Linked DNA regions of Neurospora crassa OR74A. The main gene of each other region encodes a partner of the protein of the gene in region 2 in a complex. Links are inferred from orthologs where the notes say so. Each region holds a gene or a part of one and is shown on either strand. Other genes may lie near its edges.

The links.
Region 1: NCU01772 (region 2) and NCU00727 share a complex: the UniProt entries of both Schizosaccharomyces pombe proteins name them as parts of the RNA polymerase III (Pol III) complex. The link is inferred for Neurospora crassa OR74A from reciprocal best matches to the Schizosaccharomyces pombe genes rpc2 and rpc34.

The regions. Positions count from the first base shown.
Region 1 is NC_026501.1:7,401,017-7,404,592, reverse strand, and holds NCU00727 (hypothetical protein), read right to left. Parts: upstream 2,264-3,576; 5' UTR 2,071-2,263; coding exon 1,829-2,070; intron 1,754-1,828; coding exon 763-1,753; 3' UTR 554-762; downstream 1-553. Other genes in the region: csr-1 (peptidyl-prolyl cis-trans isomerase), read left to right, coding at 1-3, 70-363; NCU00728 (hypothetical protein), read right to left, coding at 3,236-3,576. UniProt on the Schizosaccharomyces pombe protein: DNA-dependent RNA polymerase catalyzes the transcription of DNA into RNA using the four ribonucleoside triphosphates as substrates. Specific peripheric component of RNA polymerase III which synthesizes small RNAs, such as 5S rRNA and tRNAs.
Region 2 is NC_026502.1:2,489,791-2,494,170, reverse strand, and holds the start of NCU01772 (DNA-directed RNA polymerase III polypeptide), read right to left. Parts: upstream 2,897-4,380; 5' UTR 2,711-2,896; coding exon 1-2,710. UniProt on the Schizosaccharomyces pombe protein: DNA-dependent RNA polymerase catalyzes the transcription of DNA into RNA using the four ribonucleoside triphosphates as substrates. Second largest core component of RNA polymerase III which synthesizes small RNAs, such as 5S rRNA and tRNAs.

The DNA.
Region 1 (3,576 bases), on a different chromosome or scaffold from region 2:
AACGTAAGTCCATGTCCGCCCAACAAGCTATCGAACATGGGAAAATAAAGACCTAACCTCTCTGAACAGGGCACTGGTGGCAAGTCCATCTACGGCGAGAAGTTCGCCGATGAGAACTTCGCCAAGAAGCACGTCCGCCCTGGTCTTCTCTCCATGGCCAACGCCGGCCCCAACACCAACGGCTCCCAGTTCTTCGTCACCACTGTCCCCACCAGCTGGCTCGATGGCCGCCACGTCGTCTTCGGCGAGGTCGCTGACGATGAGTCCATGAAGGTCGTCAAGGCCCTTGAGGCTACTGGCTCCAGCAGCGGTGCTATTCGTTACTCCAAGAAGCCCACCATTGTCGACTGCGGCGCTCTCTAAATTCCCTTGTGGACATTGTCGAGGGTTTTAGGGATTGGAGTCGCGGTACCATAATATTCATATGAATGTGCTGCTATAATATCTAGATAGCCCATCAAAATGGATTTCCTGCGCTGCACACCCACCCTTCTTCACTGCATCGTCATCACTGTCGCTTTGATGGTTGATGTGATTACGCAAACTGATGGTTGATGAGATCACGTAAACTGATGTCTTTTCCTAGACAGTTTGCAGGTCATGTGAATGTTATCGCCAACACATTGAATGCTAAACAGATTACCTCCAACGCCTAGATGAAACCAAATTACCCTTGCCTTCTTTTTTTTTACGCCGTTAATGCAGTTGTGATAGAGACCATGCAACGTCTTCTAAACGGAGACACAAACACATTCGAGTCGATCAGATCGAAATGACTTGTTCCTGTACCTCGTCACCATCCAGCCACCGTCTGAAATAGACGCAGTTGCTGGGGCTGACAGGTCCGCCTTCCTCGCACATATCATAGACAGGGCACCGCCCACAAGGCGCCTCCATAAGGCCACTTGCACTCGGCTCAACTCCCATAAATGAGGTAACAATGCCTCCTTTGGTTGGATCATGGTCGAGGCGTCGTTGATTGCACGTCCTCGGATCCTGTTTGGGGATGCGCGTCACACGGTACCCCTTGCGCCCATTGACCTTGACAGGCTCTACTAAGCCATCGTAGTATAGCACATCCACCAACTGCTGGATATCCGCCTCGCTCAACGTCGTATTATTCGTGATGCCGGCGTGGTGGATGAACTTTGCAATGTCCGACACAGTCGGGTACGACTTGTAACCGGCCGGGAGAGGCAGCAATTGCGGCTTGCCGGGCCTGGTCTTCTTGGCCGGTGCCGGTGCCGCCGTGTCGTCGTTGGAAATCTCGCCCGCGCTGCGCTTCGTCCCCTTGGAAATATCCTCCGAGTGGGGAATGGTCCCCTGAACCACGCCCTTCTTGGGATTCTTTTCACGCTGCTGTGCTCCTCCTCCTTGTGCTCCTACTCCTGGTACTCCAGCACCGCCGCCGTGGGAAGTATATGTCGATTTCTGCTTGATAAAGTCAAACACAATTTCCTGTAGCTCGTTGATGAAGGCCGTGTCGAGCTCGCCCTCAGTAAACCAGGGGCCACCTGTGGCGCGATCGGAGGGACGTAGGTTCGCCTTGATGTACATCTTCTTGTTGGGGTGCTCGACGTTCTTCATGCTGGCGATGTAGCCCTTTTGCTCGAGATACTTGATGCAATGCTTCATAAGCGAGTCGGCCATGTTGAGCTTGTTCTTGATGGTCCGGTTCCAGATGCCGTCGGCCCCGGCTTCGTCGACCATGGCGTATACCATCATTATTTCGGAGTTGGGGAGGGAGGTGTACCTTTTGGGAGGAAGGGGAGGTTAGTTGGTGTGCTCGGTTGTGTCCTAAAAAGAAAAAAGAAAGGTAGTAACGCACTTCTTTGCATCCTCCCGGCTTCGCCATCTCCACGACAGCCCCGATGCCGTGGTGTTGCCGACAAAGAGCTTCTCATCGCAGAGAATTTGGATCACCTGCATGAGCAACCCGATATTGTCTTGGGGGATGACCTGCATGTCCAACAGGTCCCGCTGCGTGAAGAGACGCTGATCGGAACCGTGGTCCCTCGCCGCCTCGTAAAGCGCATCCTTGAGGATCTGGATCTTGTCGCGGTCGGCCATCGTGTGCTGGTGGTGATTAGGAATTTCGTGTGGTGGTTCTGGTGACCGAGACGCAACAATTTGGAAGAAAAAAAGGGACTCGTGACGGGACAAAGACAATGCCCTGGCTGGTTGTGAGCGTCAATGCCCAGTCTGAAATGGGTCTGTTGATTGGATTTAGAGAAGGTGTGGCGTATGGCCAACTGCAGGTCGGTTTGCCAAACCGAGTTGCACTGGTCGATCACGAAATTTCCCAGAAGAAATGCCCCGCCTTTCTCAGCCTTGCATGAAAGAGCAGAATAAAGCGTTTTGTGATTGGTCACTCATGTTATGCCAAGACGGTGACTTCTGCTCAGAGTTCCAGGAAGTTGATTCGTCAGATGTCCTCTTCCCGATAAGTAAAGAGTCATGATCAACATGAAGTAAAACTGCGAGCATTGATGAGCCAAGTCTTGTATTTCTATATCAAATTGTCAAAGTAAATATTCCCTGACTTCTTACGCGTGACGGAATCCGAAGTGTTGCATAATCCACGGAATGCTCGATGTAAGCGTCCTCTTCAGTGGAGCACGTTCCACTTTCTGATCAGCCTTGCGGGACCACGCAGGCCATCCCAGTTTCGCAGGTCTTCTGCAACCTTATCATTTTTCTCATCCTTCAACCTTCCAACCGCCAATTTTCTTTGACAAAGCAACTCTCGCGGATCGAGTCACCACACTACATCGTGTACACGTCATCTAGCTCACCCATTGTCTCCTGCTTGATTTCCCTTTTCCCCCCACCCTAAATCTATCTGCTCATCAAATTCCTTCTGCGAAACTCAACGTGCAACCCGAAGGATATCGATGCCCACAATGGACGATAAATGCATTGACTGAAGGAACTCCTTGCCGCAGTGTATCCCATGATCCAACCACCGACAATCTGGGCTTGACTACCTCTTCATCTTCTTACAACTTTCGCTCATCACAGGATGATACGCCAGGTTGCTTGACGGTGCCTGATTCTCGCACCAAAGGGAATCAACACTGCCATACCTCCGCCCACTATGAGCGCAAATACGCCTGCCGTTGTTCCGAAAGCCTCAACATAACCCACCATCTGGACCCAGATCAAGACCGACGCCGCGAAGAAGAAGCTTACAATATGCTTTGTTCCTATTGACATCGTGCCGTGATTAGCAAGGTTACTCAACCAGGAGGGACTCATGCTGCTTCTTACCATTGACAAGCATAAGAGCATCCGAGTTTAGTGGAAGCAGACAGTCCGAGACATAGGCCATGGTGATGGTCGGCACCGCCGTCAATGCTACCGACATCATACCATATCCAAAGAACAGGCTGACCCAGCCCATTGCCTTTTCAATGCCATATCCGAACACCAAGCAGCCCGAGCCGCTGATGATCAGAGGTACGATGCAGAGCCACAGTCGATTCTCTGGTTCGTAAACGCCATTGTTGCGCCTGGTCTTCCAGTCGCAAAACTTGTCAACCGCCCAGCCGCCCAATACGCTGCCGAAGAGGTTAC
Region 2 (4,380 bases):
GGCGGGTTTGGACCTTGATCAACTTGTTCTCGCGCTCGTTGACCGAAATCATGACCTTGTCGATGATGGCGGGGTCGGAAATGCGGTAGTTGGTTGATGCGTCACGGTAATCGTCTGACCCACGATCGCCAGCGATTCCAGTAGAGATCTGGTCCAACGGGGTCTCCTTCTTGATCATCGTTTGTCCGGATTCAACCTTTGAGCCCACCTGGGCCAGGCCATCGGCGTCGAGGATGGCGTGCTTAACAATGGGCTTGTCGTCTTCGTCCTTCATGATACCGCCAACCCTGTCGCGGCGCCCATTCGTATAGCCTTGCAATTCGGCGGTATACTTGCGGAACACTTGGCAGCGGCCGAATCCACGATCTAGAGAAGCCTTGTTCAGAACAAGCGCATCTTCGATATCGTAGCCAGAGTAAGACATGACAACGACGGTGGCGTTCTGTCCTGCCGGGAGCTTGTCGTAGTGGATAAGTTGAATCGTCTTCGTAATGACCATTGGTCGTTGGGGATAAACAAGGGTATAAAGAAGGGTATCGATTCTGTTGAACTGATTGTAGGCAATAGCACCAATGGCTTGTTTACCCATGGCGCACTGGTAAGTATTACGGGGAGACTGGTTGTGATGGGGAAAGGGAATTAGACCAGCGACTGCTCCGAGAATCGTGAACGGCTCAATTTCCATGTGCGTAGTGCTGTTGGTGATCTGATCCTCCTGAAGCGCCACAAGGGTATCGTTCTCTTCGTTGACATCGAGATACTCAACCACGCCGCTGGTCAGGAAAGTGTCGAATGTCGCTTGCCCGAGTTGAAGCATCTTCAGGTGCTCTGCCTTCAACATGGATTTGCCGTTCTTGACGATGATGTACGGGCGGCAAATACGTCCTTCATCGGTAGCGATATGAACCGCCGAGAAGTGCTCGTTGATGTGGATGCTCACAAAAGGAGAGACCCAGCCCCGGCGACGCAAAGTTCTGAACCTGGCGGCAAACCGCTTTGGCTCCCTGGTCACAGCAAATGGTGTACCGTTCAAATGGATGATATACGAGCCTTTGCTGTGCATCTCTGTTCCGGTGTATTCTCGGATCGGTCCCACGCTCTCATCAGCAGCAAAAATCATCTTCTTAACTGGTTCCTCCGGCACATTCGTGGTAATGTGTGTCATGAGTGCCAAATTCTTTACCAGACCACAGGCTTCACCTTCAGGTGTATCAGAGGTGCAGAGCATACCCCACTGTGAGGGCTGTAGGGCTCTTGGACCGGAAACCTTTCTTGTTTTTTCGAACTGTGAGCTGATACGCGTCATCATACCCAGCGCAGCGATATAACTGAGTCGGCTGAGCACGTGGGTGATACCGGCTCTGTTCATGTTGAAACGCTTGACCGTCCAGTTGCCGCTCTGAATGGCGCGGTTAAGACCGTGAGAGATATAATGGCCGTTAGCCATGATCGCACCATGGGGATCATACGTAGAGGTACGGTTGGGTTTCTTGAAAAAGTTGTCAATGTTGTACTTGACGTCTGAAATGAACTTTTTGAACAAGTCTTCAAATAGAAGGGAGATCAACTGTCCAGCCAATTCCAATCTCTTGTTGCCGACGAAATCTCTGTCATCGACGAGCTTGGGATTCTGAGCTGCCATCAGCACGCGGCGAACCATCATGGCAATGTAGACGGCCTTGGGATAGAAGTCGAGACCCTCAACAGTAACGTGCGCGATAACTAAGTTCGCAAGTGCGTCGAGACCTTCTTCAGCATGGTTTCTTCGAGGAGCGGCACCGAATTTGGGTCTGTTACCGCCCATCTTGACTCTAGCACCAACGTATTCCAACGCTTGTTGTTGTGTGTAGACACCAGCTCTTCCGGCTTCATCGAAGTTGATGAGGAAATCGTCCTGGTAGCGCGCATCGCCACCGCAAACCAGCTCGATGATGTCGTTGTCGGAAAGACCACCGAAGGCCTTGAGAACGATGACGATGGGAATGGGCTCGGAGAGGGTGTTGTGCTGCAGGACAATCCGGTCCTTCTTGAGTACGACGTAAGTCTTTGACTTTCTCTCGTGTGTGGAACTGGTAACCGAGGCCATGACTCCGCCGGTCTTCTCGTCGGCCTCGACAATGATACGGTTCTTGCTAAGCTGTTCCTGAATCAAGATGACCTTTTCGGTTCCGCCAATAACGAAGTAGCCACCAGGATCGAGAGGGCACTCGTTGAAGACCTCCATCTGGGCATTGGTGGCGCCGTTGAGGTAGCACTTTGCGCTCTTGAGCATGACGGGAATGCGGCATAGCGGGATGTTCTTGCGGACGATAACGTTCTTGTCGCGGGTGTAGGCGATGTCGACCTCGACGGGGGCGGCATAGGTGAGGTCGCGGAGACGGCACTCCATGGGGGTGACGGGGTTTCGAGACTGGACTTGTTCGCCATCTTCGGTGCGGGTGGGCATGCCGACGCGGATGTCTCTGAACTCGAGCCAAAAGTTGGGGTCCTGGTCGCTGCGGACGACGCGGTTGGCCCTAACGATGTCCTTGATTTCCTCGTTGACGAAGTAGTTGTACGAGTCGATGTGTTGCTTGACGAGGCCCTTGACCTTGAGGAAGGCCGGGACAAGATGGAACTTGTCCTGCGTGGTCGAGATGGGATCGGTCAGCTTCTTGCCATTGTAGAACGGCTCCAGCAGGGCCTCAAAGCCATCGTCGAGAGCCGCCATCCTTGCATGTGCTAACTGCGGGTGACGGTTCGTCGTATCGATCGGGCCGGAGGAATGGAGGATGGCGATGATGGGCGCGGAACGACCGGGAATGTGTGTTTGGTTGAGAAGATACGCCTTGCAGTTGTGTAGGTAGATTTCGATGTGATTTTTGGCCCCGCGGCAAATTGATAAGGATTAGTTGCGATAAACTTTTTCTACGGGCTGGCCGCTGCCATTTCTTGTTAGGTCAGTAGAGGTAAGCCGCGGCTGGGGCGGTGGGGGACGACGGGGCGGGAGTGGTCTGTGCTTGACTGTTAGTGTGTGTAGTGCACTACACTAGAGGTAGTGTTGTGGTGCGGTGACCGGTGACTGCTAGTGACTGCAGTGGTACCTAACTGGTATGCCGAGGCCAAAATTGTTAGCGCCCACGTTTTGGACCCCTGATTGACAGTTACATATACCTATGTAGGTTCCTTGTTCCACTTTTGGCCGTGCCCTCCACCTGTCGGGTACCTTTGAAACCTTTCCTTTTGCTTTGACTCCGGACCGTCACTTTGATGTTCGTGATAAGGAACCCCCGCCTCTGTGCAACTCCGACACATCTGCCTCCTGGTGGTAGGTTGTATTTACCTATCCAACTTCAACTAGCACAGCGATTTGAACAATTTGTAGCGGGGTCAGGCCAGCTAGGTAACCTCAAGATAGCTATGTATCCGTTCTGCTGAATCTAGCCGCGCCAAGCGGAAGCCGGGCCTTCGATCGACACACCAGTCAACAGGGGAGAGCTTCTGGTTATGAAATCACCTGCCGGGTCGTTCACTATTTCTCTCCTACCTGTTATCATGTTGATGGTCTTCTTCGGTCTTTGTTCGTTGATATGGCAGCCTTTGAATTGCTAATCGCATACAACGGAGGTTGATGTTATTCCCAAGTGCTGTGACCTGCTCAGGCTTCAAGAATCAGAGAAGGGTTATGCTTCTGGCTGACTATACAAACGTCAAAGAGTCGCATCACCGTTGGCCGTGTCTTACAGCATAGTGTAGGTAGGTACCCATCTTTTCCTAGGCCAGCTCCAGCAGGGTGCTACCTTGCTTGAATCGACCTGGAACCCAACCCAGCAGTGGGGCAAGATCCGAAAGAGGAGCAATTGAAAAAAAAAGGCGAGGAGATTTCACATCAAGGTTAAACACGGGGGCGCTGCACTTGTGCGTTCGCTTTCTCTACCATGGTCTCAATGAGCATTCAAGACATTCCATATCTCAGCGTCTACCATAGCTATCACCTGGCTATCGTACATTTGAGTGCTCAGAATGTAAATCGATCTTCTCTCTTGTACTGAATCTTCCACAGGGCAGAAGTGAGGGTTAGAGTGTCCAGCCTTGAACATTGACGGCTGTCTGCCTGTCACTCACTGTCTTGTGCCTTTTGTCACTATGGCTACCTTTCCCATGCCTTGTCTCGAGCTTGTCTCGCGTGTCAGCTAGAGTGCTGCAACACGCAATCCCTCTCCCGTTCTGTCGCCAGCCAATCATTACCTATCCGGTTCCAGACAAGGCCTAACATCGCGCAGGGGCAGCTGCAGACTGGACGCAAGGGCGCGGGTAAGAGAATCTGGGGCAGCCACCTCGTGGATTGCCTCACTGCAGGCCGTATAGCGCCCGGCGACGCCTATACACCGCTAATTCCTC